Tamandua tetradactyla: one gene and its partners. The protein of the gene in region 4 binds, or shares a complex with, the protein of the main gene of each other region. Links are inferred from orthologs where the notes say so. Each region holds a gene or a part of one and is shown on either strand. Other genes may lie near its edges. The genes, in order: SNRNP40, CWC27, EIF4A3 and CWC22.

Region 1 (7,944 bases), on a different chromosome or scaffold from region 4:
TTTGATAAGTGTCATTAAGGAGCACCTATATACATAATAAGGTACACAATAGAAATTTTTTTGCTGATAAAACTACTACATATTTTTTTTTTTTGAAAAAAACATATGGGCAGGCACCGGGAATCAAACTCGGGTTTCTGGCATGGCAGGTAAGAACTCTGCCCACTGAGCCACTGTGGCCCGCCCTACAAATTTTTTTTTTAATGAAATTAAATAAAAAATTTAAGGATGCTGTGCACAGAATCTCATGCCTTCCAGTTGCTTGGCCATCAATAAGTTTAAAGATGACAGAACTGGAGTATCTAAATCAAAATGGGCAGTGAAAACAGATAACATCCACCCTGATGCATAGTTACTAAAAGAGCCAAGGGACTAATTTCATTTCATAATGGGGTAAATACAGAGAAGAAAAAAATGCTCGATTATCTTCTCTATGCTTTTCACATGACCCCTCAAAGTGATTTATTTCTACTTATTCTTCCAAAATGGGTATTCCTGACTGGTAGTTAAGAATCTGGCAATAGATCTTAATAATATCTAAGGCAGTTGCTATTCTAGAATCCCCTTTCCTTCCTATTTGCTAGGACTGTGAGTATGGATCCCCAGGAGGGCCTCACAACTTTGGGAAAAGAACTTTTCTCTGTCCTCATTACAAAAAGTTGGAGATCTCGTCTTGCTAAATCAGCTCAACACTTGCCTATATGAGGAAGGTATTCCCAAACCAGAACTTACTTTCCAATTAGTAATATAATCTCTTCTGTATTTACCACACATACCCCAAGTTCTATACCCAAGATCATTTAGAATTCTCACAACCTCACTTTAGTTTGTTAGCAATGTAGTTTGTCATGTTTCCTCATTTTCAGAGATAATCAATCTACACTGATCACAGATAAAAAATAATCACTACATGGTAGAGTGCAATTACATCAGATTCAAAAACTGTCTTACATATCAGTCGATCAAATCCTGCAGATGCTAAAGTGGATCCATTGGGGTGAAACTTGCAACAATACACTTCCCCTTCATGTCCGGAGAGCAGCATGATTGGGGCTTGAAGAGAGGAACACCTTGGAGGCCCCTAAACAAAAGACAGAAACACAGAGTACTCACTGTATATAAGCAAAGGAGGCTGAAAAATTTGAGGGTGGTGGCGGGGAGTAGGAAGAGAGAGAGAGGGAGAAGAGAAAACGATGGATGGAATGGATTTCAGCTCTTTTCACATCATGCATGCCTCTTTTTTTTTTTTTTTGCTGCAAAAAACTTTTTTATACTTGGTTCATGGTTTGTCATGTCTCAATACGATACTCTTCTGTTGAACATTCCAATGATCACCTGCTACATTAATTCTTTCTCTCCCTCCCTCTGCTGCTGTCCCATAGCCAACATTTCTATTATTCAAACATTAAACTTATTTCTGTTGCAGGATCTTTGCATTTGTAGTTTCCCCTGACTCTTCCCCACCTGTATTCCAATCACCTACTGTACTTCATACAGTACATACCACTTTATATATTAATATAAGGTGATTCCTTATATATATATTCCATACACACACACACACACACACACACACACACACACACACACACATCCATATTCCTTAATCACCATCTGAAATTACCTTTCTCATATATTTGTTTATATATTTCGTCTGCTTCTCACACTAGAACAGTAGCTCCATGACTGCAGGGACTTTGCCTGTGTCATTCAACAATCTTTTCCCAATGTCTGGTGCATTTAATGAGTGAACGACAGAACTGAGCTTAACAACAACCCTGCAGGGTAGGGACTCCTGCAGAAAGTAGGATTTGATTATGGCCCTGGACACAAAGCCTAGGCTTGAGCAATTCACTTTCTAAACCTGGGCTGATGCTCTAATTTGTTGGTAGGAAGAACAGGCACACTAACAATAATCTCCACATCTCTTCAGTGGTTTCCAGCTTATTTATTCATTAAAAAAAATATGTGCCCAGGAACTGCAAAAACATCTGTGAATAAAATCAATAGAGTTTACATTCTGGTGGAATGGGAAAGAGAAAAGTTTAAAATATATATATATTACATACAATGGTATGTACAATAGGGAAAAACAGGAGGAATGTGGGATAGAGAGTATGGGATATTGCAATTTAAAATACTGTGGTCGGGAAAGAACTCACGGAAAAAGTGATATTTACACAAAACTGAAGAGCTGAGAGTGTAAACCATGCAAGCATTTAGAAGAACATGCTGACAAAGGGATGAGCAAATGCAAAGGCACTGAGGCAGGAGCATAGAGACCAGAGCAAGGAAAGAAGATTGATGTATCAGAGAGGTAGAGGGAAAAGTGGGCAAAAGATTGTGAAGTTTTTGGTTTTTACTCTGAGTGAAATGGAAAGCTGGACTGAGAACAGATTGTAGAAAGCAGGAGCTGAAACAGTCAAGACTGATTAGGACCATACTGCAAAATCTCAGATGAGACAAATAATAGCTTAGACCAAGAGGAAGCAATAGAGATGATAGAAATAGCAATTCTGGCAGGATTCGCTGATGGGTTGGTTGAGGGTTTGAAAAAAAAAAAAAAGAGAGTACATATATTCTTTCATCTGATTCTCACAGCAGCAGAGGAGAAGTGGCCACTACTTCTTCACGTTACAAGAGCAGTTAAGAGCATGGATTGTGGAGTCAGACTGCCTGGGTTCAAGATCTATTTCCATCACTTTATTTGATAAGAGTTTGTTGTTCCATTTGCAAAATGGGATAATAGTTCCTAACTCCTAGGCTGTTACCAAGATGAATGGATATCACATACACAAGGCACTCAGCACAAGGGCTCCATGAATACTAACTGTACTATCCAGTTCATAATATTAGTACAGAGAAATAAAGGGAAGCTGAAAGAGGGAAACCAACTTGCCCGGTCCCTAAGGGAGCCAATAACATTCATTTCATCGCATTCTCCCTTCACTCACTCACGCATTTATTCACTCTACAAATTTCTACCAAATGTTTATTCTATCCCGGATCCCTGGAAAACTTTGGAAGCCTAAGCCGCGGCCCTGAGGCCAGCTATGAGCCTATGGCTCTTCATTCCAATTCTACTGCCACCTCCAGGGCGGTCGAGATGCTGAAAAAGGGCATCAAACGCGGGAACACGTATCGAGCATCTGTAGGGTATAGGGCGCTTTTAAAGAGTTTAACTCCAGGTCAATATTCTCGTTCCTCTCCCGCAATGCGGCATCACTCGGTGTGGCGCTCTGAGGAGAGAGCAAGAGAAGCCGAGCAGCGAAGGCCACCTGTTCCTTTTCTTACCGCTTGCAGCAAAGCTCCTGGCGTCGTCTGCTGCTGCCCGGTTCCGGGGCCCGACCCCGCCGCTCCCAAAAGCAACTCATGCCGCTGCCGCTTGACTGGGACAAGTGGTAACTCAGGGCCCTTGCGCTTCTGCTGTTCTATCATGGCGGCAGCCGCTCCTCTCAGTGCCAGTAGGGACCGAGGCGGCACGCTTCCACACAGCGCGATTGGCTCGAACTTAGCCTTTCCTTTAGAACTTCCGGCTTGGAGAACCCAATCATCTCCCAATAGGCTGCGTCGCTTTCGGGATAGTCTCTTGTTATTGGGCAGCTCTTCCTAACATCACGAATGCCCGACTTCAGGGTTGGCGGATGAACCTGGAGTCCCGCCTACGCGCGCTGTGTCTTGTGGGTATAAACGCGCCGACTGGGTTCGGCTTTTCGCGCAATGGCGTGGCTGGCTGTCTTCTACTTGACGCCGAGTAAGTATAAGGAAGCTAGGGGGTGGCTACCCGAGTCTGGAGGCAGCGTTTTGGTTGTGGGGTTTGAGCATGGCCCTTCTCAGTTGAGGGTCCTGATTTCTATCCCTGGTAAGTAGTAGCATGGGCTCTCCTTCCTGGCGGGAGCCGAGGTTTGGGCTGTCTGGCGGCAGGACCCAGACCCTGTAGCTGCCGGGTGGGGTGTTGGAGGGACCTCGACGACTGACTTGGATAATCGCCCACTTGTGTCCAGTCATGTGTGGGGCGCTCCCAGGAAGATAAGGCCTGTCTCCTAGACTCCCTGTCTGAGGAGGTGAGGCTTGTTTCTGCAACTGACTGTACAGTCTTTCATTAGAGTCTCCCCTATGCCGCTGAGAGAGACAGATGAAGAAAATATCCGCCTTCTGCTTCTCGAGAGCGCAGTTATATTGAGAAGCTTGAGACTCACATCTGTGAACTAGGTCCTCTTCTCAATCATTCAACTAATATTTATTGTGCGTTTGGGAGACGTTGTGAATCAAATAGTCCCTGACGTCAGGGAGATTGAGTCTGGTGGAGAAAACAGATGTTAAACAATCTAACATCTCTTTAGTTAATGTAAAATAAGTGCTACCTCGGACAGCTATCTGACGCTTTGAGTGCTTAAATATGCAGGAAGCCTTTTCTGAGAAAGAGATGCCTGAGCTGAATTCCAAATAATTAGGTGAAGAGAGGAAGCCACAGCATTACATGGGTGACTGACAAAAGGCACAAAGAGGCCAGTGTGACTGCTTCAAAGATAACGAGGGGAGAGTGGTACAAGATGAAATTGGAGGCGGTTAGAAGGTTAGGCCCTGCAGAGATCTGTAGCTTTTATCTTAAGATGAGATGGGAATCACTGAGGGTTGGTTTTTTGGGTGGGTGGGGGGGGCTGTATGTGTGGAAGGGGCGGTGGCTTGACCCCTTTGTCTCAGTGGTGTGAACAGATTGAAGGTGAGCCGTAGTGAATTCAGATAGACGACTTAGGTTCTGCAGTGGTCCTGGTGAGAGATAATTGGCAATGAGGACTGACATATCTTGGTGGACCTGTGGAGAATTGAACAGATTCTAGAGATATATAGGAGGTAAAATGGTTAGGACTGGTGATGGGTTGGATTCCTGAAACTTAAGAGAGAGGAAGCAAAGATAAGCCCTAGGTTTCTCATGCAGCTGAATACGTAGCAGTACCATTCAGTGAGGCATTAGAATATCTTGTAGTGTTCAATGGAACGCTAGAAAATGACTAGAAACTAGTTTGTTAGTTTTGTTCCTTGGGTTTTTTATGGAGGGATTCATTTGTGACATCTAGGAGGCAGTTGAACTTTGGAGCGCAGAAGCCATGCTTGTGTTGAACATAGTAGATTTGGGAGTAATCTAGGTGATAATTAAGTAGTATGTGTGGGTAAGATCACATGGGTCAGAGCCTTGGGAAGTTCCAACATTTAGTGGCCAAGAACAGGAGGATGAACCTACAAGAGAACGAGAGGAATATTCTTTTAGAAGTAAGGGAATGATCTGTGTCAGAATTTAAATAGCATGAGGATCAAAAAAAGTCTGTTGTCTTTATTATGAAGTTCTTGGTAACCTTGGCAAGAGTTATTTTGTGATGGAAGCCAGATATGAGACAAGGATCCAGGCAATCAATCTAGACATTATTTTAGAGAGGATGTGGTAGCTAAAGGGGATGAGGAGTTACCAAGGATCCAATTGAGAGGACAGAGTTGAATATTCAAGAGAGAAATTGGGTCACCAATAGCGTAAAATTTCTGAGAAGGTGGGAGGGGATGGGATCCAAAGTATAGGTGGAGAAAGCAGCCTTAGGAAGATGGATTCATTATCCATTTAACAGAAGGGAAGGAGGAAATGAAGGTATAGATAGAGATTGTATGTTTGGTACTGGTAAGATGAATTGTTTTCTCATGGCTTTTATTTTCTTTGTAAAGTGAGAGGTGGAATTTTATGCTTAGAGTGAGAGTAGGTTAGAGGTTTGAGTAGATTGAAGAAGATTTGAAAGTCATTGTAGAGTGTGGGAGAATGTGTTTACTAGAGAAATGTAGGATTACCAGGCAGAGTTAAGGACCCATTGGAGATTGGAGATTATACTTTTTTTTCCCCCAGCAACACTAGGCTGTTTAGTACAAGTTTGGCAAATATTGTGGATTTGGCTGGCTCAAAACACGTTCCTGCTTCTAGTGTGCCTTCTCTTACGGAAGAGGCTAGAAAGCGAAAAACTATTCCAATTCTTTCCTAAGAATTGAATTTGGAACTGGATTAATTGTGGAGAGAAGCTGAATGTGAGGCATCAGGTTTTTTTTTTTTAATTAAAAAAAAATTATAAGAAAGAAACTCAAACCTTCTTAACATATGCTCATTCCATTCTACATATTTAATCAGTAATTCACAATATCATCACATAGTTGTATATTCATCATCATGATCATTTCTTAGAACATTTGCATCAGTTCAGAAAAAGAAATAAAAAGACAACAAAAAAAGAAAATGAAAACAAAAAGAAATTATGCATACCATACCCCATACCCCTCCCTTTCATTGATCACTAGTATTTCAAACTGAATTTATTTTAACATTTGTTCCCCCTATTTATTTTTATTCCATATGTTCTACTTGTCTGTCGACAAGGTAGATAAAAGGAGCATCAGACACAAGGTTTTCACGATCACAGTCACATTGGGAAAGCTATATCATTATACAATCATCATCAAGAAACATGGCTACTGGAACACAGCTCTACATTTTCAGGCCATTCCCTCCAGCCTCTCCACTACATCTTGAATAACAAGGTGATATCTACTTAATGCATAAGAATAACCTCCAGGATAACCCCTCCACTGTGTTTGGAATCTCTCAGCCATTGACACTTTGTCTCATTTCACTCTTCCCCTTTTGGTCCAGAGATTTTCTCAATCCCTTAATGCTGGGTCTCAGCTCATTCTAGGTTTTCTGACCCATGTTGCCAGGAAGGTCCACACCCCTGGGAGTCATGTCCCACGTAGACAGGGGGAGGGTGGTGAGTTTGCTTGTTGTGTTGGCTGGAGAGAGGCCACATTTGAACAACAAAAGAGGTTCTCTTGGGGGTGACTCAGGCCTAATTTTAAGTAGGCTTGACCTATCCTTTGTGGGGTTAAGTTTCATATGAACAAGCCCCAAGACTGGGGGCTCAGCCTATAGCTTTGGTTGTTCACACTGCTTATGAGAATATCAAGAATTCAATTGGGGGAGGTTGAATTTTCTCCCGTTCTCACCATTCCCGGAAGGGGACTTTGCAAATACTTTTCCATTCACTGATCAAATCACTCTGGGATTCATTGGGGCATCACTCTGGACAAACCAGCAAAATCTCATGTCCTACCCAAGGTTTCACGTACTTATGTTCAACCAACTATCTACATATGTTGTATTAGGAAATGCACTAGTCAAAATATAAATTTTGTACCAAATAAACATTTTTTGCTTTAGTCTCACACATAAGTTGAAATTTAAAAATATTAATTACCATCTGTTTTCAGCACCCTGCAGTAATGACATTCCTTTGTTCTTCCTCATGCAAAAACATTTTTAAAATTTGTACATTTAGTCATTATCATTATACACTCTAGGCGTTCCTAGATTATACCATCTCAATCTTTATCATCTGTCTTTCTTTGTGATTTCGTTTAGAGGCATCAGGTTTTGCTGAAAAATATAGCAGAGGCAATGAGTTTTCCAGTCAACAGCCACCTGCTTTGGTGACTTTCTGCAGTGATGGCCATACCTTTTTGATCATGGCAAACATGATATTATTTTGTGGCTTAGGAGTTGGGAAGTTCTGCCAGGGCCTGCTCCTATAGCCCTTCCATTAATTTTGTAAGTCATGTAATACCTAGATATAAATTCCTTTTTGCCTAACCTAGCTGGAGTGGGTTCTTTTGTCTGAAACTATACCTTTCCAGACTCCAGTTCTTTCTACTCTACATCCTTTAGATATTAGAATGCTTTCCTCCTTTCTCCACCTCTGCTGGGCACATAGTAAGGCTCTATTTATTCATTCGAGAAAACTTTGAGTACCTACTGTATTTGGCACTGGGAATACAAAATCATATAAGAAATGATCCTCGATTTCATGTTTGAATAAATTAATCCAGACCCTCCTCATCTTAGCCTCCCTCATGAATGAT
Region 2 (8,327 bases), on a different chromosome or scaffold from region 4:
ATTCTTTTATTTTTAGAAATAAGGAAACAGCGCCTCAGAAAGGTTAAGTGGCTTGAAGAGAAGTAAAAATTTCACAGATTTGGGTCAAGAACTAAGTTCCTGCCTCCCAGGAATGAAAGGGTCAGTTATATGATTTAGGAAAATTATTTCAATAGGAATAAGCAGATGGACTATAAGAGAAAAGAAATGACCTATAATACAGTTTAAAGGAGTGAAAAGAAATTAGATTAGTGTAATTCAGAATTTTTATATTACTAAGATGTTATCGTCATGTGTTGTAAGAATTTGATTGACTTTGACATGCTAAACTAAAATGTTAATTTGGCTATAGAACATTCACTTTCTTACTCCACAGATTTCACTGGAGAGAAAAAAATTGTCTTTATGTGCAAATCACATCAGTAGAACATTGCCAATTGTGCCAGGTCTTTTTGTGGTATAGGCTCTTTGTGGAAAATGGCAAATCATTGACATGAATGCCATAAATAATTTCAACAACTGCTGTAAGTGGAAACAGCAGAATTTAACGTTTTCCCCTTTCCCTAATTCAGAACATAAAAATTCCAGCATTGCTTTAAAACAGGGGCTGCAAACTGAAATGCCTTCAGGAGTCTGGTAGATAGCTATGACGGCAACTTAGTTCAACGTACACTACCTAAGTGCCTGGCCTGCTCTTAACACCTCATATGCACTAATTCACTTAATTCTAATAATAAATCTTAAAGTCAGGGACTGTTATCTCCATTTTACATATGGTGAAATTCAGGCACAGATAGGTTATATAACCTCCCCAAGATTACCATATATAAATGGTGGTGCAGGCAGATTGGTTCCAGCGCTCATGATTTAACTACTATATACAAATTCACTACCAAGGTAACACAAATGAGTGAGGAAGGTCAAAGACGAGTTCGTGCTGTGGCAAACTGAACAATGGCAAGTCCAGCCAAAAGGGGCCTGTCATCTCTCATCAGTTACTGCAGTGTCAGAATGTGGGTATAGTATTGTCAGAATCTTTACTTTTTCAAAGGTGAGCAAAAGTCTAGATTTGTGTGTGAAATCCTGCCCTCCGACCTCCACCACATACTTTAAAAATATTTCTTGCCAGTGTTTCTGAAATCCGTTGAACCAAATCTAAGATATCTAAAAAGTTCAACCCTGGCCAGAGGCTTCAAGGCTTACTTCAACATGGCTTGTTTATCTACATATAAATTGAGTAAGCTTATATATAATGCTATGGAAAAATAGGCTGAATCAGGTGAGCATAAAACCAAGGACACCGATTTTGATGTGTGGTTTGTGAAAAGTAGCCTCATTATTTGACAGTCAGTGCTTGTAATAATCACTAGCCGGAGCATCCTGAGAAATACCATGCTAAATCTATACCAGCATTATAACTAAAAATAAAATAATATATGTTCTCAATGATCACTTCAGAAGGTTTCTGATAGACCCCTATTTTCCTTTAATACACTATATGGATCGATCATGCAAGAAATTATCTTAATTTTTTCTATACCTGTATTTTCAAATGGCACTTCCATTGTACTTTTACAATGCTGTCACGCGCATTATCTCAATTTTTGCTGGGTTTAAACAGTTTATGTCTTGCCATCTAGCTTAATGGCACAATTTAAGATTATTACACTTGGAAGCATTATTTTAAATTGAGAAGAAGGTTAACAGGTCTATAACCTTGGTCTAAGTGTAAGGGATTTCAATAAGGGTGTTGAAAAAAAATCACTTTTGTCCCCTGTCTTAACCAGTGCATTTTCATTACTAGACTTAATTTTTATGAGGCCACATACTGTAACATTGTGTCTTTCTGAGTGCCAATAGCATGTAGTTCAGTTCATGAAATCAATGGTGACATCAGGCCAACTTTAGATACAACTGTGGCCACAGACTGTAACATTGTATCTTTCTGAGTGCCAACAGCATGCAGCTCAACTAGTGAAATCAGTGGTGACATCAGCCAACTTTAGATATAACTGTGTCAATCTTTAACAACTGTCTTCCCATGGATCAACAGGGCTGATGTGGCTTATGAAGATGTCTGAGCAATCAGCTGTGCAGCCTTTCTTTCTCTCCTGGTCTCTTAAATAGTGATCTTCCCCAGGCTTCAGTCACAGGCTTACCTTTCACACTCTACACATTTCTCCTGAGCAGACTTCTACTCTCATGGCCTTAACACCTATTTAATACAGACATTTGGGTGGCACTGAATGACACCAAAATCATTGCCTCTTACCTCAGCTTCTTTGCTAACCTAAAATTTATATCACTAAATGACTGCTGGATACTCCCATTATCAACACGCCCCAAACTGAAGTTATAATCCTCCCCCTTAAAACCTGCTCCTTCTCCAATGTTGCCTACATCAGTAAATGGCCCTGCCCAAATGTCTAACAGTGATTTCTAGATAAATCACACTTCCTAGTGACGCTGCCTCCAAAAACGTATCTCCAATCTGTCTGCTTCTCTCCACTCCTATTGACACCATACTTCAGTGAGGAGTCATTGCAATTCACCAGAATTATTCCTAACTGGTGAATGCCTCAAACTATCTCCCCTCTATTGTGCAGCCAAAATGATCCCTTCAAATCATGAATCTGTTTAAAAACACATAAATGATCTCCAAACACCCTTAGGATAAAGTCTAAACTCCTTGTCATGGCTTACAAATTTGTTCAAGAGCTGGAAGTCACCTTTTAAGTTAATATAGCATGGCAAATGGATAAGAGCATGGGGTCTAAAGAAGCCAATCTGATCTAGCTCCATCCAGCTGTCTCACAACAGGCAAATCACTTGACTTCTTTGTCCCTCAATTTCATCCTCTGTAAAAACGGGATAACAGTATGTATCTCATAGTGCGGTTGTGAATGTTAAATGAGAAAAAATAACAAACCACTTGACACAGTGTCTGGAACACTATCTGACACATAGTAAATGGTCAGCAAATAATAGCTATTGTTATTATCTTTCTAGCTCATTTCTCACTTCTCTCCCATTTGTCCTTAGAGTTCCATCCATAGCGCCCAGTGAACCTCTTTCATCCTTCTTCTCACTGGTCCATTACATAAAGTCCCTTTGATTGCATGTTTCCCTCCATCCCCCTCTTCAGCAACTCTCTGGACTCCTCTGGGAAAGTCATCTGTGCAACTCCTAGATGCTCCCTAAGGTTCTGTACTTGTCTTACTTTCTAGTACTATTTTTTCTCTCCCTGTTAAACTGTAGGTTTTGTGTAAAAGGGTCCATGTCTTTCTTGCTTACCACTGAAATGGTTTTGTACCCCAGGAAACCCATGTTCTTCTTTCTAATTCAATCTTGTGGGGGCAGACCTATTGTTTGGGTGGGATCTTTTTGATTAAGTTGTTTCCAAGGAGATGCATCTCTGCCCACTCAAGGTAGGTCTTACTGGGCTTACTGGGGTCCTTTTAAGAGGGAGCCATTTTGGGAAAAGCTTAGAGCCGACACAGACAGAGACATCTGGAGATGCAGGAAGAAAACGCCCCAGGGAAGCAGTTTGAAAACAGAAGCCAAAGGACCAGCAGACACCAAGCATATGCTTTCCCAGCTGACAGAGGTCTTCCAGGCCTATCTTGAGTCAGGGTATCTTTCTTTGGATGCCTTAGTTTGTAAATTTTTAATGGCCTTAGACCTCTAAACTTGTAACTCAATAAATCCCCTTTATAAAAACCAATCCATTTTTGGTGTATTGCATTCTGGCAGTATTAGCAAACTAAAACACCGTTTTATCCCCAATGCCCACCACAGTGCCTGACACCTGACAGGCAGTAAAGCTGTCAGTGTATGAATGTGTGCATTTTTCCTCTCTCACAGCTCAGTATGTGTTCCTCTCAAAGCCGCAAGCCAGCAGAAAAGCACAGCTGTACCGTAACAGCTGTCCGCAGAACACACTTCAGGACAAGGCTGCCACAGGACAAACGCTTCTGAACCACAGCACTTCTCAGAATCCTATGCTCAAGTGCATTGTTAACCTCCAAGCGGGGGGCAGAGGGCGTGTATTTCTGCATACATCTCCTGCACTGAACGCTGTGGCACAGGCCAGTCTCAGGAGATGCTCACCCCCGCTGGACGTCTAAGGCAGACAGCAGCTGTGGGCGGGGAAGGCTCCGAAGCACTCGGACTGCAGGGTTCACGGGTGGCAATGAGCACCCTTTACACACAGAACCTGACACGGGGAAGAAACCGACAGGATTCACCCAAGCGCCTCCTCTGACCCAACGAGGCCCAGAAGAGCAAAGGGAACGGTCTGCGGCCACAGGCAAGCGGAAGCGCTGGAGGGGGAGCCCCGGGCGCCCGCAGGGCCCGACCCCACGCCCGCCACCACGCCCGGGACCCGCGGGGTCGCCACGCGCGCCCATTCGAATGGCATCTCTAAGCCACCCCGAAGCGACGGCCGAGGCCTGCCACCCCTTCGGGCCTCCACGGGCTGCCCTTCCTCCTCCTTTCCCCCCCAGCGTTTCTGCGGGGAAGACGCCTGTCCGCGGCGGGGAGACGGCTTCCGCCCGCTCTCAGCGTGGGGCTGGGAGCCGGCACTTGCTGCCCCCGAGCCCCGCAACCCAGCGGCGGCGCGGCGCCTCCGCCCGAAGGCGCCCGGCATCGTCCTCTCCCATCCCAACCGCCCCCTCCCCGCTCCCGCTCCCGTCCGAGCCCGGCAGGCCGTCCTCACCTGGGATTGCCATGGTGCTGGCAACAGGGGGTCAAGGGTGCGCGCGTCCCGCCGGCGCGGGGACAACGCCCGGCCGAAGCGGCCTCGCCCTCGCCGCAGCGCCGCCGAAGCTCCGCGAGAGGCCCGGAAGGGCCGCTAAGCCCCTGGCGACGGCGGAACCAAGGCGTCGCCGCTGTGGTTTCCGGGCGAGTCACGGTGCAGCGAACATTTGGCCTGAACCATTACAGCCAACTCCTGAGGGGTGCGTGTGTGTGACCGACACAGGTGTGTGGCGAAAGTGAACACCACGAAGACTCAAGATGGTTCTTTAACTTTTTAAATACGAATAACTTTACGCTATAGACGCTGAAGACTCTTTTCTCCTTCCCTGGAGGATATCGGAATCCCCCTTATCGGGGTTAGCGGTGTTCGGGTCCGGGAGCAACATGGCGGCATGCGTGAGCGGCTAGGTTGGCGGGCCCAGGGCGCGGCGTCGCTGTCTTTCAGGGCCTCGGCTTACTGGAGCTCTCCGCGACCGCCTCCTCCAGGGAGCGTGAACTCCTCCGCGGTAGCGTTCGTTGACCGGAGTTTTGCGGACTTCGAAGTAGAGCCCTGAGCACCGACAAGGATGAGCAACATCTACATCCAGGAGCCTCCCACGAACGGGAAGGTGAGCGCCTCACCTGGGGCCTCTGGGCTCCCGGAAGCGAGCCCTCTCCCACTAGGAGGGCTCTGAGGTGTTCGGGATGGAAGAGGCCACAGGGAGTGTCGTCGTCCCCCTGTCTCGGGACGAGGCGTCGAAAGCCGTACTGAACACTCATAGCATGGATTGGAAAACCAAGAGCTTGGGTGGAGAGTTCCTCCATTGCCCTCGCCGCGGGGCCTTCTGCCCCCGACCCAACTCGTGCAGGCGTTTACGAGGGTCTTAGGGTTTTAGAAGCAAAATATGAAATTTAACATATTATTTTCTTGGCTTGGAGAGCTCTCCTTTTCGCATCCGTTCTGCAATCATTTGTTGAGTTCTTGCTGTGCACGGGTGCTGTGCTAGGCGCTGGGGATGCAGAGATGGGTAGGCCTAGTTACTGCCCTGGAAGAGCGCATAGTTAAGTTTACAAGACAAGCCCTAAAGAAAAAGCTTCCATATACGTCTAGTAGGCATCCTTGTGGAAACAGAATCATTGTTCTATGGCAGTACTGAGGAGTGAGCCGCTGGAAAAGTTAGGAAAAGCTTCTTGGAGCTGAAATTAAAACACGAGATAATTGCCAGTCAGAGAAAGTGGAGAATGGGGAGTGTTCCCATATTTGAATGGGAGGTTAGGGTCCTGATCGATTTGGTGGTCAAGGTACGTCAATTCCCATCCACGGTGTTTGTATGCAGTATGAGGCAGAGAAGTTAACGATGGGATTAGTGTCATTTGCATTCTTGAACTGAGACCTAGTCTATATCATATGTGAAATATTATGAAGAAAATAGTGGGACTTAAAGTATGTGGTTTGATTAGGGTAAACGAAATTTGCCTACAGTACAGTTCTGTTGCATGACTGTATCATAAATTACTTATGCAATCTTCTATTGATGGTCATTTGGTAATATAATGAGAGCAATTTGTAAACGTACAAAAAGTTTCTGTAATGAAATATCCTTGGCAAATATTTTAAGGGGAATTATGGGCAGAATTAATTCTTTGTTGTTTGACCTTCTCCTGGGCACTCCAGATTAGCATTCTCCCTTTCCCCCATGTCATTGTCAAAACCCCAAATAACTATCCCCTCGTTTTTCCAAATGTTTCTTGGGGATGATATTACCCCCAGGTGATAAAACCTGGCAGAAGATTGAATAAATTACCCATCTTGCCAGGCAGAGGCTTCACACTTGCTCTTCTCCTTGGTTTGTTCTTCTGCCTGCTCAAATGTCATCCTAAAAAAGAGGCCTTTCCTATTTGCCCTCCGTGATGGTTGGTTCATGTGTCAGCTTGGCCAGAGGGTGGTGTCCGGCTATTTGGTTAAGCAAGCACCATCCTGATGGTTCCTGTGAGGCCGTTTTGTGGACGTAAATCATCAGTAAATTGATTGCATCTATGGCTGATGACATCTACAGTCAACTGAGGAGATGGCCTTCACACTGAGAGATATATCATCCAATCAGTTCAAGACTTTAAAAGATGACGTGATGACTTCAGCAGTCAGAAGAATTTCTATCTCCACTTCAGCCAGCCGAGTAGAATTCCAAGGTTCCCCCAGAGAATTCATCAAAAACCTTCCCCAGATTTCCTGGCTTGTGACCTGCCCTTTGGAATTTGGACTTATGCATCCCCACAGTTGTATAAGACAATTTTTATAAAAATCTCATAGTATATATCTCAACAGATACGTCCTTTTGGTTCTGTTTCCCTACAGAACCCTGACAAAGACACCTTCTATGACATAGCATATAGTAGTCATGCCCTGCATCCCTGCATTCCCTGGCCCCCTGAACCTATTTTTCTGTAGTACTTATTTTCTTGTTTATCGTGCATCCCCTTCCCTCAGAGAATGCAAGTTCTCTGAGAGCAGAGATTTTGCTTTGTTCACTGTACTTAGAACAGTGCTTGATGCATAGTAGGAGTTCAAATATGTATTGCATAAATGAATGAATGTTATTTCTCTTAGCTTCTGAGAAGTATTAAGCGTCGGTGGGTTTAAGTAGACTGTGACTGGTTAAGTGCAGGCTGACTTGCTTTTTTGAGGAAGACTTAGCATGGTCATATAGATGAAAAGCTTAACAAGGTTACATGCCTAAATAGAAAACCATTTATTCATCAACAAATATTTTTTGAGCACCGAACACATACCAGGCTCTATGCAAGGTTTTAGGGATACAACAGAAAGAAAAAACAGCATTGTCCCTGTCATCATGGAGTTACCTTGGTGACATATGTGTTGACCAAATAATCATGCAAATAAACACGTAATTGCATACTGTGGTGAATAATGTTAATCTTTTGGACAGTAGTGGACTGAGGGAGAACCTCAGGCAGGGCCCAAGTTTTGTCCAAAAACAATTTGGGAACTTTAACAACATAAGGATTATTGAAGAGATTGAAGCCCTGAAGTTCTATACTGTAGGAAGTGTGGCAACTAAAGTGTACTGTAGAGAGTGTGGCAAGAATTTTGGTCTTGCAGGAATTTAAAGCACCTGTAATGACAAGTCTGCTCAGTAAATGTTTGTTTCATACCTGTGCTGTTTAATGGTGCATTGGTTTCTGAAAGCATTACAGAGATATCCAGAATCAATGGGAAAAAAATTCTTCTCTTCAAAGAACATCAAATCAGCTTGGGAAGCATAATTGACAAATAGCTGAGAATTGCACCAATGGTTGACCCTTGGCTGTTGTCCCTAAATGAACTATAACCCTCACACAGAAATGTAGCACCTAATAGAAATTTCCTGAAAGCATAGGGGATGATCCACTGAATTTGAAATTTCCACATATTCTGATACTTTATTCTAAATTGTATATTAACATATATATGTTCTTAAGAAACATGTTATTATTGAAATATTGTTTTATTTGGCAGCTTTAACAAAAAGAATCACTGAGAACTGACAAATACTATTGCCAAGGAAATCTATGGCCAAAGGAGGGCGATCCATGTGCCTTCTTCAGTAGTT
Region 3 (7,794 bases), on a different chromosome or scaffold from region 4:
GGGTAGGGAGATGGAACTATCTGATGTTCTGGAGAGGCTGAGCTAGGTTTCAGGGCTTATCTGGACCAGGGACCCATCTGGAGGTTTCCGGAAAGTTACTCTAGTGCCTGGAACCCTTGTGGAATCTTATATATTGCCCTAGGTGCTCTTTAGGATTGGCTGGAATGGTCCTGGTTGCGTGCTGGCAGGTTACGACAGGTAGCAAGGTCTACCTGAAGCTTGTGTAAGAGCAACCTCCAGAGTAGCCTCTCGACTCTATCTGAACTCTCTGCCACTGATACTTTATTAATTATACTTCTTTGCTCCCTTTTGGTCAGGTTGTAATTGATGATCCCATGGTGCCAGGTCTGGATTCATCCCTGGGAGTCCTCTCCCATGTCACCAGGGAGACTTTCACCCCTGGATGTCATGTCGCACGTAGCGGGGAGGGCAATGATTTCACTTGCAGAATTGGGCTTAGAGAGACTGAGGCCATATCTGAGCAACAACAGAGGTCTTCCAGAAGTAACTCTTAGGCATGCCTATAGGAAGATCTAAGCTTCTCCGCTACCTACATAAGCTTCACCAGAGTAAGCCTCATGATCGAGGGCATGGCCTACTGATTTGCCAGTAGCCCTGATTTTCGAAGACAACTGTATAACTACCTATTTTCAATGTAACTGTGTGATTGTGAAAACATTGTGGCTTACCCAGGTATGGACAGATGAGAAAAAAATAAGGACAATAAATAAATAAATAATGGGGAAAGGGGATAACGGGTAAAAAAAATTGGGTAGACTACAATACTAGTGGTCAATGAGAGGGAGGGTCAAGGGGTATGGGATGTATGGGGTTTTTCTTTTTATTTCTTTTTTCTGGAATGATGCAAATGTTCTAAAAATGATCATAGTGATGAATACACAATTATGTGATTATATTGTGAGCTCCTGATTGTATACTTTGGGTGGACTGCATGGTGTGTGAAGATATTGCAATAAAAACATCAAAAAAAAAAAGTATGTGTATGCAACATCTAGAAGTATGGGTGCCAAAAGGTCATTGGTGGTCACCCCTGGAAATGGGGTTGGGGGAAGAGAACCTAATTTTTTCTTTAATTAGTTCTATCTTTGTGGCTGGATCTAAAAAGCCTGTATTGTTTTGTTCGTTTGTTTGGAGGAGAGTATTACTTTTTAAATTAAAAAAGAAAATCTGTAACACTGATTACAGCATTATGTGTGTGGGCTATTTGTGTTAACTCTAACTGCATTTAGTTCCTGCTTGGATCATACTGTGTGTCCTGAGATAGAGAATCCGGTCTCCAGGCAGCTGTGGTAATCACCCACCTGCTATCCTCTGGTACAGCAACTACCAAGGGAGGGGTTATTTTGAAGGACCATGTTCGAAGTAAACAAAACTTTATATACAAAATCATAGTTCAATTGTTTTTCAAAATACAGTACAAGTTCCCATCTTAACATAAAAGCAAATATAATATCCTTTAAATCCCTCGGAATGTGCAAGGACACAGTTGGGAACCAACAACAGTATTTTAGAACAAGGAGGCCCTGGGATGACGAGAACGGTGCCTGCCTCACTATCAGGGTCAAGGGTTTCTTTTCACCTTCCAAACCCTCAGACAGCTTTCCCCTCACTCTTCTAATGCCTTGTGCTATCAAGGACCTTTGGAAATTGTTTGGATGAACGATACCCTATCCCAAGCTTTAAACACAGATCATTCACCCATCAGGCCTGACTTCTTCCCTGGACTCCAAACTTGCCTGGACAACTGCCAACCCAAATGTCCAAGTGCATGGCTCACAGGCCTCTCAAGCTCTCCATGTCCAAGGTAGACAGAGCTCCTAATTTTGTCTTCCCAGGTCCTTACCCCATTTTCCCGCCCCCACCCCCCGTCAAGCAAATGGCACCATCACCCAACCAGTTACTCAACCCCCCCAGAAATCAGGCTGGGGTCCTCTGCCACTAGCATTCAAAATCACTGGCAAATTCTGTCACATCAGCTCCACTGTCTTCCTCTCTCGGTCCACTGCAAAGGCATCATCTCTCACCTAAACTAGAGCAAAAGCCTCCTAAGTCCCTGTTTCCAACCCTGCCTCACCTTCCCTCCAAATCCACAGAGCACCCGGAACACTCTCTTTAGAAATAAAATTCAAACTCTATCACCCCAAACAATGCTTTGCAAGATTCAATTCCTGCCTATCTCTCTAAACTCGCCCCTAAGCTCATAACAGGGGCTTCTTTAGATTCCTGGAATACACCGTGCTTGGGAAGATGTGCGGGCAGCTGGCACCAGCTGCCTCTGCGGGGACTTCTGTGGCTGGCGCTTAATTCAAGTCTCAGCTTAAGCGTCACTCCCCTTATCTATCTGCTCTATTTCAACTAAAACTGCCCCCACCCACCTCACAGTCACTCTCAGTACTGACTCACCCCGCTTTATTTTCCCCAATGAAATTATCACTGCCTGAAACAACCTTAGTTACACCTCGTCCTTCTCCCAAACAGTATTTAAGCCCCATAAAGGCAGGAAACTGCCTGGCTGGCTGCTAAATCCCCGTTGCCCAGAGCAGCACCTGTTGCCTAACGCCTAATGCGTATAAAACAGTTCCTATGAATGGAGACTCTTAAGGTGCCTGGAGACTCTGCACCCCTTGCTGAGCCTAGCAGGGCACTCTGCACCAGGGAGAGCATATGGGACGAAAGATGCAGACGTGGAGTGACGGCTGTGCGCCGGGGCGGGGGGAATCTCACGTCACTGATCCCCGGAGCCTCGGAGCCTCCGCCACGACCCCCCACGTCGACCTGCTCACCCAGTCGCCCCTCCCGGAATGCCGCCGCCCCGGGGCTCCCCTAAGCCCGCGCCCCACCGACCGTAGGCGTAGATGCCGCGCAGAAGATCCTCCCGCAGGCCCATGGTGTCGAACGTGGGGGTTACATCCACCTCCTCGCTGGTTTCGAACTCCACTTTGGTCATGTCTTCCTCTTTGAGCAGCCGCTTCCGCGCGGAGCCCGACGTAGCCATCGTGGCGGTGGCCGCCATGATTCCGAGGCCACCGAGAGACGAGCGCGCGGCGGACCGGTGGCTGGTCCCAGGCGGAAAGCGGAAACAGGCCGCTGCCGCCGGGAACTGACGCCATCGCGCGCGCGTGCGTGTGGCCTCCGTGCGTGTGAGCGTGCGTCGGACGCTCTTGGTCACGTGAAAGGGGTGAGGCGTTCGCCGCAGGGAAAGCGGTGGTGGATGAAGTTCTCGCGAGATCTGAAGCTCCCGCGGGATGTAGCGCCCGGAGCCACGCCTCCCTTCTCGAAACTTGGGGCGGCTGAGGGAGAGCGTAGCGTGGGTGGTTTGGGGGCTGTAGTCGTCGATGTCTGGGTGAGCGGATGAACAACACGGGGACACACTTGTGTGTCACTTATGGGTGCTGTGAATGGCCGCCGCGAGTCGGCGTAGGCGGGAGGCCCGTGGAAACTGGGCGAGGTCCCAGAGGGTCGCAGTGAAAATGTGAGCGCGCATCTCTAAAATCTGAGTGTCTGCTGGTTATGCGTTTTAGGCTGATGTTATCATCGGCATCTCTTTATGAGCCCCGTGTGAAATTCGTTTTTATTAAAACCGGCTAGAAACCATATTCAAGGGACCTGTTTGGGGAAAGTTTTGAATTTCTAGCTGTTTGTCCGCTCTGACGGGACTGCCCCTTTTTAAGGTCCCACGTGGGCAATACGAAGTTGCCCCGGAGCGCCGCGCGGTGAGAAGTGTCCAGGCTTGGACGTGAGCATCCTTCCGTAAAGGATCGCGTCGTTAGTACTTTTGTTTCATTTTTGCAGTTTGCTGTAATGTCAGGGCTTACACGTGGGATCGTGCATTAACGCCTAGATTTTGTCTGGAGGAGGCGCTAATAATTTCTCCCCTGGGGAAAAGATGAGGTCATTTAAAATACACGTATCCCGAACTAAAATGCAAATATTTCTGTATCCCTTAAAAATAAATAAAATATAAATTAAAAAAATATATATATTCGTATCTCTTGACCAAAGAAACAATTCAAAAGGAGACACAAGTATGTTAGGAACAAGGTGTTCCTAACAGCAAAACCCAGCAAATAACTTAAATGCGAAATGTAAAGGAACTTTTAATTAAATTATGTATTTTCAACCCAATGGAGTATTATGTGGCTGTGAAAATGATAAATATACTATGTATCAAATGTATATTACATACCATATATTAAGATGTATGTTAGTTATTGTAAAGGAATTAAAAATCCTCCAAGTATTTTGTAGAAAATTAGCAGTGGAGTTTAGACCACAGAAGACCAAATTCTGAAATGCTGAAAGAAAATGAAAATAAAATTCAGATCCTTGTTAATCTTAACAGAAGCAGAGAAATAGAATAATTCTAAGATGATAGAGGGAAAATTAAAACTTGTAGAAATATTTCAAAATGTTCAAGTTGTGTTCTGAGAAGATGTAAAATACGCATTTATGCTGACCAGAAAATAAATAAATAAATAAATAAATAAAATACATCTTGTATCAGAGTAGAGTTGTGCATTTAACCTAGCCAGCTTATTCTAAACTTTTCAAAAATGCCTTCAGAAACCCAGTTTCTCAGTGATGATTGAGCCAGATTTACCATCTCACTGAGTCCCTCTTTAATGGGTTAGAGTTACTGCTTTTTGACACCTGTCCAGTTCCGTGTTGTATGAGAGTTGTGTTTTAACTATTTGCAAGTTAAACTTCCAGCGAGTGTCGGCTCTGTCCTTTCGCCTTGTTCCCCTGGCTTCAGTCACAGGGTGTTCCTTTAATCCATGGCCTCTTGGCTGGAGTGTTTAAAGCACTGCTTTTGTGGAGGCTAATCTAAAATCAGGCAATAGTTTTATCCTCTGAACCAGGTACATGGGATTCTCAGTGGCTTGAAATATGTTGACCCAGAATGGGAGGGTGGGGCTTCTCTCACCTGAAGGCCTTGCCCTGGACTCAGGTCTGTCCATCCTGAGATGACTGACCTTCCATGGGCCTAGAAGGGTGTCAGAGCAATCTAAATACCAAATATTTGTAAGGCTGAAATTCTTTCTTATGTTTCGAGATAAATGAAGTCCGAAAGCAAGTTCTTATGTTTTCTTCTCACCCCATGAAGAATTATTCCATACCTTCTCTGAGGTGTACAATCTCAGTTTTGCAAGCAGGACTCTGGCGCTCTAGGGCTGTGTTGTGTAAGGAAATAGTGTTAAATTTCTCTTTAATAACTTTATATTGGTTACTGTTGCAATAATATTTTGGGTATCTTGGGTTACATAAAATATGCTATTTAAATTAATGCCTCTCATTTTTTTGCTTTTTGAGATATGGCTATTAGAAAATTTAAAACTACATATTAAATTCCTATTGGATAGTGCTGCTCTAGGGTACCCGGTAGCATATAAAAGAACCTTGCCAGGCATAAGGGGAAAGAATAGAAATTTAGTGATTTGAAAAATTCCAGTATCAATAAGGAGGGAATGAAATTATTCCAGTCTTCTACTCGTTCTGAATTTTTTTTTTTTAATCTTAGTCAGGCTGCCCCTAGACTTGTTTTTTGTCTTCACTTAGACTTGTCTTTTGCCTTCATGTTTTCATGGCAAGGTGTTCTAAACGTTTTATGCCATTTTCCTAACAATGTCCTTTTTGTTGTGTCTGAGTGTTCGTCTTAAGTTCTCTTCCTTTTGTTTGGGGCTCTCTACATTTCCTGGGGCTGCCATAGCAAAGTACCACCAACTGGGGGGCTCAAAGCAACAGAACTTATTCTCTTGCAGTTGTGGGGATCAGAGGTCTGCGATCACTGGGTTGGAAGGGCCACACTCCCCCTAAAACCCCTGAGGAGTGTTCTCCTTCAGCCCTTCCAGCTTTTGACAGCTCCCTGCAGTGCTTACTGTGACTTGGCTTGTAGCTGCATCAGTACTTTCACCGCCTCCATCTATACATGGCTATCTTCTCTCTAATGGGTGTCTGTCCCTCCTCTCCCCTTCCTATAAGGATATCCAGCATATTGGATTAAGGGCCCATCCTGCTGCAATATGGCCCCATCTTAATTTAACTAATTCTGTCTGCTGCAACCCTGTTTTCAAGTAATGCACAAGTATCTAGGGTTAGAACTCTGAAATATCTTTTGGGGAGTGCATTCAACCTGTAACTGGGGCTAATAATGGTTTAACCTAGAGTCCATGAAAATGAGAAGAGCTCAGGGGAAGGGGGCCGATGCTATCTCTAGGTGAACCATGCTCTCTAGGAAACCTGGAGAACCAAACAGATATGGTTCCTGCCCTCCTGGAAACTACAGTCTCATCAGGTGAGGTAGCCTCCTGCCCCCTGAAAATTGTAAACTTGGTGGTAACTGAGGCACTGGAGACAGAGCAGGTGCTGGGATAGAGCATGATGGGAGGTGCCCAGCATGACTGGGAGGGCGGCCCAGGTGTGATAAACCCTGTACGTCCACTCTTTAGGGAGCTCAGAGCTGGAGGTTCATGCAGTAGATCACAAAAGACCCATATTTTTGTCATGATGCAGGACGAAGTGTTCTGGGTAATTGCAAGGAGAACAAGAATTCTCAGGAGAACAATTTTTCTATTAAAACTCGATGCACAGGGCAGGCCACGGTGGCTCAGCAGGCAGAGTTCTTGGGTTCAATTCCTAGTGCCTGCCCATGCAAAAAACAAAAACAAAACAAAACAAAAAACCTCGATGCCCATTTTCACAAAACCTGGGCATTGCCCACCAAAGTCCTTGTGGCATCCAGACAATTTCCAAGCACTCATCACTAGTAGGCGATTATCCCTTCATTGGTCACACGAGAGAGCATGCCTCAGTTGCTCACAGTATGTGTTAAAACACTTGCTCTGAGGCAGCCTTGGCACATCAGCATCTACTTAAGAAGCAAGAATTGACAACCCCCTGCTATCTAATCCCTCTGCTTACATTCCCAGACTCATGTTTGGAGTCTTATCAGAAACCTCAATTAGCAATCCAAGTAGAGAGTGCAGGCAATGTGATATGTTAACCACTTGACTAGTGGAAGAGTGAATGGCCAGCTAGAAAAGCTAAAGTGACCTACAGGGAGGAGCAGAGTGCCCTGCAGAGTGGACGTGCCGGGTTTCCACGCTGGACCCATCAGGCCAGCCCCACTGGGTGCCTCAACGCCAGCGGGGGGGGCGGGGGTACCCATCGTGCACCCTCTCAGCACCCACTCTGGCTCTGGTGACTCAGTTTCTACAGAGTTTAGGATTTTCGGGGGGCAGGGGGCTTCCTCTCCTGATTAAACGGTAGTCTCCAGAAGGGCAGGGACCTTGTCTGTCTGTTCTCCGTGTTTCCCCAGCACACAGTAGATGTTTAGTCAATACCTGTTGGCTTGTTGACTGCTCACTTGATGTCCAGGGCAAGAAGCGGGGAGGTACACGGGACCCAGGGAGGTTGGCCAGCTCACCACGTGGCTGCCTCAAAAGCCGGCCCATCCCTTTCCTGATCTGTGTTGGCTCCGGGAGAAGGTTCTGGAGGGTCATCCTGTCCAGGAGTGGGAGCAGAGCTGCTCTGCTGGGCTGGGTTTCTCATGAATCACCTCCATACAAGTCCATGCCCTGGACAGAAGTGACCTCCATCCAAGGGACTGTCCCCAAAGCAGGGCTTCCTGTCAGAAGTCCACACCCATTTCCAGATACTAAAGAGTAAACACTCCTCCTTTCCCGGCGCTGTCCTTTCTCGGTCCTTCCTGCTGGGGTGGGGCGCCTCACCAAGTGCTGTCCAGACCCACCTGCAGCGTCCACAGTGTCCGGCCTT
Region 4 (7,755 bases):
GTTACTCTGTATTTCCCTGGAATTTCATCTTCACCCCCAAATCTTCAACTAACATATATGAGAATGACTTTATCTCTAGCCCAATCTCTACAGAGTTCCAAATCCTTATGTCCAACTGTCTACTGGAAACCTCCATGTAAATCTCCTAAAGCCTCTCCAAACTTAAGTTCACATTGTAACTCATCTTTCCTTCCTCCCTACCTCAAACCAGTTCTTTGCCTAAGACATTATCCATAAAGCTTTACACATGGCAATTTTCTCTTTCTCATTCCCGGTCATCAAATCCTGTGGATTCTACCTCCTCAATTTATAGGAAAATATCTGCTCCTATTTTTCCCCAGTCTTAATGTCACTGTATACAGAAGGTTGGAAGAAGGTTCCATTTAGGGAAGATCTCATAATGGGACAGTCTTAAAGAAAATAACTTGGAGATGCTTGGCCTAAATTAAGACATTTATGAAGTAGTCCCTAGACACACAGCACTACATTCCATTATAGAGTCTCCTGTCACCACTTATCTATCCTGGTCTAGAATAAAGTTGTCCTGATAAACCAATTCAGGGAAGGACTCAAGGTAACTTTTTCACTGGTAGTGCTGAGCTTTAATTCTGGTCCATTAATGCGTTAGGCTCAAAGTCAGGTTAAATATGAGTCTACTAATAGGCTTTCCCTCCCATTAGCTAACCCATTTTTTAATTACAGATTTCTATGTCCCCAGACCAAGGCAGCCCACACCTTATGTTTGGTTATCTGTTCACTAGGAAGGACCTGTTAATATCTAGCTTGGCCACAAACAGCAAAGGCTTTCTTTAATCCATCGCTGTTTTCTTCTGATGACATGATTCATGTACTATTTTTTTTTGAAGCAAATGCTTTGAAAAGTTTGCACTTTGTTGCAGACAATGAAATGTCTATTCCAAAGTCCACTTGAGAAATATAAATATTGAGATAAAGTTTAGTAAGTCGAGAAGTTTTGTGAATGAATATGCCAGAGATCTCACTGTTCCATCATCCTCTGTATTAACCATCACACCTTCTCATGCTAGGATTCTCAGACTTAAACAGAAAAGTAGGGAAATGCAACAGGGAGCCTTCAAAGTCATCAGTAGGATCCGCTGTATTAGCAATTACATTATTATTAGCAATAAATCTTTCTTAGACTAAGTCTAGACCAGCCACAACTCACACCAAGTTAGGGATACACCAGGTAGCACAAAATTTAGTCTAAATCAAAGTGGGCAACGAACAGACATAATATTCAAGGTAAGGCATAAGTCATTATGAATACTCCATGATGCCACTGTGTCCTCTCTCAGGTGGTCTCAGGTACAAGCCATTTATTTATAGATCACTTAGCAAAGTATGATCATCTGAATGGAGAAATAATTGCTAACAATTCAGCACTCGGGAAAACTGGCAGAGGTAGGAAAGCCGTTAGGAAAGATAAGTTTGGTAGTCTGGGAAGTATCTGCACTTCAGAAGTGGTTGGAGCTGAACTAACCTAAAGGAGGTGGTGAACAGGGACACACTAATGGAGATAAACTGGGCTGGCCAAGGATCAAATACTTTTGCGCAAGGAGTGCTACAAATCTGGTTGGGGGTGGAGGGGGCGGGGTGGCAAAACATCAAAACTGCAAAATACACAGGTGATCTCTAAGGGATGTGGTTCAATTAACTGGCATGAAACTACCTGGACAGTGTGTTAAAAAACAGATTGATAGGTCTCTATTGTCTGCAGTTCCAGATTCAGCAGGACAGGAGTGATTTGTACTGCAAACAAGATTCAAGGAGATATCGATGCTGCTAGTACAGAAGATTACACTTCCAAAACAGTATTAGATCAAGATTCTTGACCTCTGATAGGAAAAAAAGTATAGGTAAGGCCGAGTCTCAGAACTCCAGCCAAATGGGTTTGAGAAAGTTTCCATAAAAAGTGGTATGGGCACTTAAAAGTGTAAGGGTAATTCAGAACCAAGGAACAAGAACTGAAACACAGCAAGAACCCATCAACTGAAGTAGTAATAACAACGTAATAATAGCTACCACTACACACCAGGCACTGTGCTTAGTGCCTCATACACATTATATTTTCTTTCATCCTTAAAACAACCCAGTGAGGCATATACTACTATAACCCACATTTTTTTAGATGAGAAAGTTGATATTAGAAATGTTAGATAACTTGCTCCAGGTGACAGATCTAAAAGACACCCAGCCAAGGCTGGAATCTGGCTTATACAACATTCAGCATCAACACAGTAGGTATCTCCTCATACATATATACCCTGCAACAAAGACATACACTTGCTGTAGTCAAACCACCCTTTTAATGCCAATTCGTAATCTGCTTTTCTGTAGTAGAATAATAATTAACGTTAACTTCTGAGTTCACCGGTCATCCCCAAACAATGAAGTCTAAATATAGATTAGGAAGGGGAAGGCTAACTGGTCTTCTGAAGACCAAGTTTGTTTATCTATCTTCTATTCCTTTTCTTTGAGTACCTAAATATGCAAAGAGAATTTTTAATGCACTTTCAATTACCAATTTTTACATATGGAATAGCCTTTCTCTGTATCTTTCCTTCTCCATTTACCTCAAAGAATTGCTGTGAGGAGTAAGTGACGGTAAAACGGTTACTGCAGTTAGATTCAGTGAAATTAACTATTAAATTACCATTATATGCAAGTGTGTTGTAGGATCCGTAGCTCTGAAGAGCGGTGAAGATTGCAGACCCAAGTTTGAGAGTTATCATCTTACTAGAGATAGTTCAAGTACTCGGAGGATGAAGGATGACAGAAGCGGACACACAACGAGGAAGTAAAGTTCCCAGCCTAAACACTGAAAAGCATCAGTATTTGCGGGGCAAGGCAAGGAAAAGGAAACTAATAAGATTTTCAGAGGCAATGACAGTGACAATGAGCTGGAATGAGGCAGAAAAGTGGAACTCCGACCACCTATAATCAGCTGTTTACTAATTCCACCCCCATGGCTCCGGAACCCGGGCTCTAGGAAAGGGGGCCTTGGGGCTCCCAATCGACTAGAGAGTCTCTAAGCGACCCGCGTCCAAATCACACCGCACAAGAAGGGCAAACCACCGATTGCAGTGGATTGCAGGAAAAAAAAAAAGGGCAGAGACACAGCCCAAAAAATCCTCACAAGGAAGCCAGGTCCGTTCGCACAAGTTGGGAGGCCGCGAACTCCCCACAGGCCCTCTCAACTAGCTCGGACTCCTCGATGCGATCTGAGCTCACACCCCCACCTCGCAGGCCGGCGCGCGGCGGGGGAAGTACGCGCGCCAGCTTACTGCCCACAAGCGAACCAGAGGCTCCGCACCCACTCTTGAGCCTTTTAACTTCCCCCCCAACCCGACGAGCTACCCATATTCCCGCTGTCTATGGCGCGTCCACCGAGTTTGATAATTACCTGGAGCTCCACCGCGCCGCCATCACACCGGATATACGTCACTTCCCTTTCCCTGGCGCCAGCAGTAAAAGGAAGGCGGAATATGATATATTTAAATGTATGCGGTTAGCTTTGATATGTTATACTATTAGTTTATTTTAAATACCATTTTGTAATACCAGTCGATCTGGCCACACTTTCCTCTTACCCGGCGACAAAAGGGAAATTGATACAAACTACAAAGTCCGGCATCCATCGCCTGTGCTGGCGGAAATGACGTAAGCCTTTTTTTTTTTTTTAAAGCTGAAGGAGCCACACACTACGACGGAAATAGATCCCTGGAACTCCCTGCAAGACAGCTCCATGGAAATTTGGTAGACATTTAGGGGTTAGCAGAATTTACTTCAAAAGTATTACTCTGCAGCTGGCAAAAAATAGTCCTTAACAATCATTTTCTGTGAAACTCTTAAGAGCAGACAATTTTTTCAAGAGTTCTCAATCTAATTTGACCAAGTGCCTATTAATCAAAGTGCCTACCAAGTGCCAATATTTCAAGCCCCAGTGAATGGAAAAATATAGGACCATAATGCGGATAAACTACTTCTGGAGAGGAGATAATGCTTCTATCTTAGGTAAGGTATACCAGCTGACAAGACTGGTATACTGAGGATAAGGAGGTTATACAGCAGAGTTGGAAAAAGCGGTCTGTCATAGATCACAGATCGGGCGTCAAACTATTTCCTTATGCTTTGCTTTTCAGTAGTAACAGAGCATACAAGTTCAGTTGCTAATTGCTGTTGGGGAACTACCCTTTCCTAAAACAACTGTGTCTTTATATTCCCTGGCTTTTTATAAACCAGGCTCGGGTTGTCTGACTACTTATATAGAGTGCTTGTGCTACCAGTACTTTCCAAGAGTCAGAAGAGTGTAGCGATTAAGAAAAAAGACGCCGGACCTAGCCTACTTATATTTGAATCATGGGTCCATTGCTTCCTGGCAGAGTGACCTTGGGCATTACTTCACACCCCATGCCACAGTTTCTTGATCTGACAAATAATAATAGAAATAGTAATCACCCCAAAGAGTAGTTTTTAGAATTGAATTAGTTAATACACATGATGCATTAAAATAATGCCTAGTATATAATAAGTGTTATCTGTTACTATTAATATTTAAGATATTTAGCCATAAGTTAAAAGTGCATTTTGGTGTCTTTAAATATTTGAGGAATAGATTTCAGTTGTAACAATAGAGGGAACAGGAGATGAATCTTGCAAACATTTATGTCCCTATCGGAAAGAAGCACCATAACACCTCTGCAATTATTGATGTAAATAAGAAAGTAGATTTGAGCCTAGGAGAGCCGAATGGAGGCAGGAGAGACTAGGTTAGTTCCTCCAAAAAGCAGAAAATAAGGTAGAGGTAGGAATGTAAAAAGTGAAAGAAAAAGAGAAGAAGCAGGATTGGGCAGGTGTTCTAGTTTGCTAACTGCCGAACTGCAATATACCAAAAACAGAATGGCCTTTAAAAAAGGAGATTTAATGTTGCTAGTTTACAGTTCTAAGGCTGAGAAAATGTCCCAATTAAAGCAAGTGGATAAAAATGTCCAAATTAAGAAATCCAGAGAAAGATACCTTGGTTCAAGAAGGCCGATGAAGTTTAGGGTTTCTCTTTCAACCTCTCAGCAACCTCTTCTAGCTACCTCCCTAGGCCTCTTGCTTCATGAAGCCCCACTAGGGGCATTCCTTTTCATCTCCAGAGGTCACTGGCTGGCAGTCTCTATAGATTTCGTGTCTTTGCTGCTCTCGTCATTCTCCAGCTTTCTCCAAAATGCTTCCTCTTTTAAAGGATTCCAGTAAAGTAATCAAGACCCACTTGGAATGGGTGGAGTCACATCTCCCTCTATTCAAAAGTTAATACCCACGTTTGGATGAGTCACATCTCCATGGAGATAACCTAATCAAGTTTCCAACCTATTGGAAACCTGCATAGGGATTAGAAGAAATCACAAGATTGATTAGGATTAAACATGGCATTTCTAGGGTACATAAATCCTTTCAAATCGGCACAGCAGATGTAGATTAAAAGGGGCATTTCAGGGCAAAGTTGAGAAGTCCCAAATTGAGACAAAATGGCTAGGCCTTTGTACCACAGAGTTGGTACAAAGTCATTGGCTGGAGCCACCCCAAGAAGAATGTACCTCAACTCAAAACCTGAGGCGCACTTGAAGGTGTTAACAAGTAAAGGCTGTCACCTAACCACATTCCTTATAGCTGGGCAGCAAGTCCTTTCTTGAAAAAGAATCTGAATAGCATATCTCTGTTTGCCAGTCTAGTCCTTGCACCATGTAGATCCACTTTTCCATACACATTGAGGAATTAGTTCTCCCGGGGTTCCAGTGGGCCTTTCTTCCTGAAATGAATGGTACAGGAGAGAGACAATGGGTCCAGTGGTACCCTCAAGACCATGCAAAGATGGGGGCTGTAGTTTTTTCTACTCTAACTTCCCTCTTCTAAGTTCCAGTATGCTAGCTGTCTCTTGTTTAACATATTCAGTTAATGTGATGTTTATATAATACATCAATATGATATTCTGCAGCATTTCCAGGTGGTCCAGATCCCTTCAGACTATGTTATTAGAGAGAGTAGGAGAGCTAATGCAGTCCTGGGGCAAAAAGTGTCAATGAATATTCTTGTTTTTTTCTTTCATGTAGACATGAACTATTTCTAATTGTCCTTCCTGGATGGGATAGAGAAAAATGAATTCTTCACATCAGTGGCTATATGCCATGCAATTGAGACCATGTTGTCCTGCTTTGGCATGGCAGCTGCAATTGGGGCTGCTACTTGATTGAACCTGCAATAGTCTGCAACCATTCTCCTAATTCATCTGGTTTCTGCAGGGGACAGACTAGTAAATTAAATGTCCCCCCAATATGATGGGCTCTGTCACTTTTGCACCCTTAAGGGTATCATTATTATTAACCATCCACCTAGAATGTTATATTGTTTTGGATTTACTCTATTGGCCAAGAGAGGCCATTTCAAATGTCTCTAATTGGCCTTCCCCAGTATGATTGCTCTTATTCCATAGGCCAATGAACGTATATGGACATTACTCTGACTGTAAAATATGTGAGTCCCAGTAATACATTCAGGGACCTAGTAAATGACCAGTGGGTTGGGCTGTGAATCGAGTGGACCCATGGTGAGTCAGACTCTAGCCATGACTTAATTTATTACTTGACCTCTACATGCCTCCACTCCAACAGGAGAGCCATGATGATGCTTTAAATCTCCAGGTATCAGTTCCAACTCTGGCCCTGTATATAGTAGTTCTTGATATGGGTAAATATGCCCCTTTCCTAGCATCAGTGCTGAATGTCACTTTTAGTCACTCAAGTAAGTAGAATTGGGTCCCTTTAGGGAAATACCAAGGGAATCATTGCAGAATATACATGACATGGTATTGTAAGAGTTTTCTCTCTCAGACCTAGCCAAGTCGTCAATCATTGGTTTGAAAACTGCCCAGGTCCAGCATCTGGATAAGAGATTGTGACTTTATTGGGGGTAACCAATAAAGCCTCCTGCTTTTCCATTCTTGCTTTCTCTTAATTATGAATATTCATCAGCATCCTTATTGGTTGTCCATATATTTTACCCTTGATTACACCATGTTCTAATAATAATCTTCACAATCCCTTCTTGGTGCTGCTCTGACACTGCTGACTATTGCAATAATTGTGATTCCCTAGTTTCTGGAAGTTAAGTCGTGCCTCAGTCTCTGTGGCTTCAGGGCATCATCACCTTCACTATTATTAATGAACCAAGTTCTGTGACAGCCTCTCCAATAGTCAGCTTGGACTTACAGAGGAGATACGGCACTGGATACTGGAAATCTTGGTGATATTAGTGCTCCTCTTACCAACTCATCCCTGATGGCCTTGGGGAATTGTGTCCTCTGGGCCTTTTTAGGGAAAATAACTTTCTGGTATGTTTTCTGGCCTCGCACCTTCTCCACAACGTCCATTTCCCTGAGTTTATTGCTTTCTTTATGGTTAACTATGGTATTTCAGGCATTCAGTTTTGCTCATTTTGGGCCATTACTTTCTTGTGGTTTCTGGGAGTCACCCTAGCAGTGAATTTGTAGTATTCCCTTAGATTTTTGCCAAATTGTTAAATCCCACATCTCAAGAGAGTGCCTCTAAGTCAATAAATTCTCCCTTATCCAGTATTGTGTTGCAGCCTGCTTCACCAGTGAAAAGTATTAGCAGTTGGACCATTGCATTGTGTTAGGGACTAATTGTGCCCATATACCACCTGGGGTGGGGACCCCTTTACCAGTTAGGCAGA

The links.
Region 1: CWC22 (region 4) and SNRNP40 share a complex: the UniProt entries of both Homo sapiens proteins name them as parts of the minor spliceosome. The link is inferred for Tamandua tetradactyla from reciprocal best matches to the Homo sapiens genes CWC22 and SNRNP40.
Region 2: the proteins of CWC22 (region 4) and CWC27 are in contact, whole or in part, in a crystal structure (PDB 6YVH), measured with the Homo sapiens proteins. The link is inferred for Tamandua tetradactyla from reciprocal best matches to the Homo sapiens genes CWC22 and CWC27. Residues at the interface, in NP_001362958.1 of Homo sapiens: Leu239, Arg242, Lys243, Tyr245, Arg246, Asn248, Asp249, Lys250, His270, Glu271, Val272, Leu275, Glu276, Thr279, Leu280, Leu281, Glu283, Arg284, Thr286, Asp288, Ser289, Val292, Val307, Ser308, Pro309, Arg310, Gly311, Thr367, Met369, Leu372; in NP_005860.2 of Homo sapiens: Arg381, Glu382, Asp383, Gln384, Thr385, Leu386, Leu388, Leu389, Phe392, Lys393, Lys395, Leu396, Thr397, Ile400, Glu412, Asp415, Asp416, Glu417, Gly418, Trp419, Met420, Ser421, His422, Val423, Leu424, Gln425, Phe426.
Region 3: the proteins of CWC22 (region 4) and EIF4A3 are in contact, whole or in part, in a crystal structure (PDB 4C9B), measured with the Homo sapiens proteins. The link is inferred for Tamandua tetradactyla from reciprocal best matches to the Homo sapiens genes CWC22 and EIF4A3. Residues at the interface, in NP_001362958.1 of Homo sapiens: Thr129, Gly130, Gly131, Ala132, Tyr133, Pro135, Pro136, Ala137, Lys138, Arg140, Lys164, Asn167, Gly168, Ile170, Asn171, Lys172, Val173, Asn174, Ser176, Asn177, Ile180, Ile181, Glu184, Ala207, Ser208, Ile210, Phe211, Tyr215, Lys330, Arg331; in NP_055555.1 of Homo sapiens: Met43, Gly44, Ile72, Ile73, Lys74, Gly75, Gln98, Cys99, Met183, Gln213, Val256, Ala257, Glu259, Trp263, Asp266, Thr267, Asp270, Leu271, Tyr272, Asp273, Thr274, Leu275, Thr276, Ile277, Thr278, Gln279, Ala300, Asn301, Phe302, Thr303.

Annotation. Positions count from the first base shown.
Region 1 is NC_135328.1:194,558,684-194,566,627, reverse strand, and holds the start of SNRNP40 (U5 small nuclear ribonucleoprotein 40 kDa protein), read right to left. Parts: upstream 3,502-7,944; 5' UTR 3,439-3,501; coding exon 3,295-3,438; intron 1,082-3,294; coding exon 952-1,081; intron 1-951. UniProt on the Homo sapiens protein: Required for pre-mRNA splicing as component of the activated spliceosome. Component of the U5 small nuclear ribonucleoprotein (snRNP) complex and the U4/U6-U5 tri-snRNP complex, building blocks of the spliceosome.
Region 2 is NC_135335.1:112,328,933-112,337,259, forward strand, and holds the start of CWC27 (spliceosome-associated protein CWC27 homolog), read left to right. Parts: upstream 1-4,863; 5' UTR 4,864-5,303; coding exon 5,304-5,345; intron 5,346-8,327. Other genes in the region: protein SREK1IP1, read right to left, coding at 4,697-4,709. UniProt on the Homo sapiens protein: As part of the spliceosome, plays a role in pre-mRNA splicing. Probable inactive PPIase with no peptidyl-prolyl cis-trans isomerase activity. As a component of the minor spliceosome, involved in the splicing of U12-type introns in pre-mRNAs.
Region 3 is NC_135332.1:72,433,249-72,441,042, forward strand, and holds the start of EIF4A3 (eukaryotic initiation factor 4A-III), read right to left. Parts: upstream 3,127-7,794; 5' UTR 3,035-3,126; coding exon 2,866-3,034; intron 1-2,865. UniProt on the Homo sapiens protein: ATP-dependent RNA helicase. Involved in pre-mRNA splicing as component of the spliceosome. Core component of the splicing-dependent multiprotein exon junction complex (EJC) deposited at splice junctions on mRNAs.
Region 4 is NC_135329.1:152,614,246-152,622,000, forward strand, and holds the start of CWC22 (pre-mRNA-splicing factor CWC22 homolog), read right to left. Parts: upstream 3,395-7,755; 5' UTR 2,675-3,394; intron 1-2,674. UniProt on the Homo sapiens protein: Required for pre-mRNA splicing as component of the spliceosome. As a component of the minor spliceosome, involved in the splicing of U12-type introns in pre-mRNAs. Promotes exon-junction complex (EJC) assembly.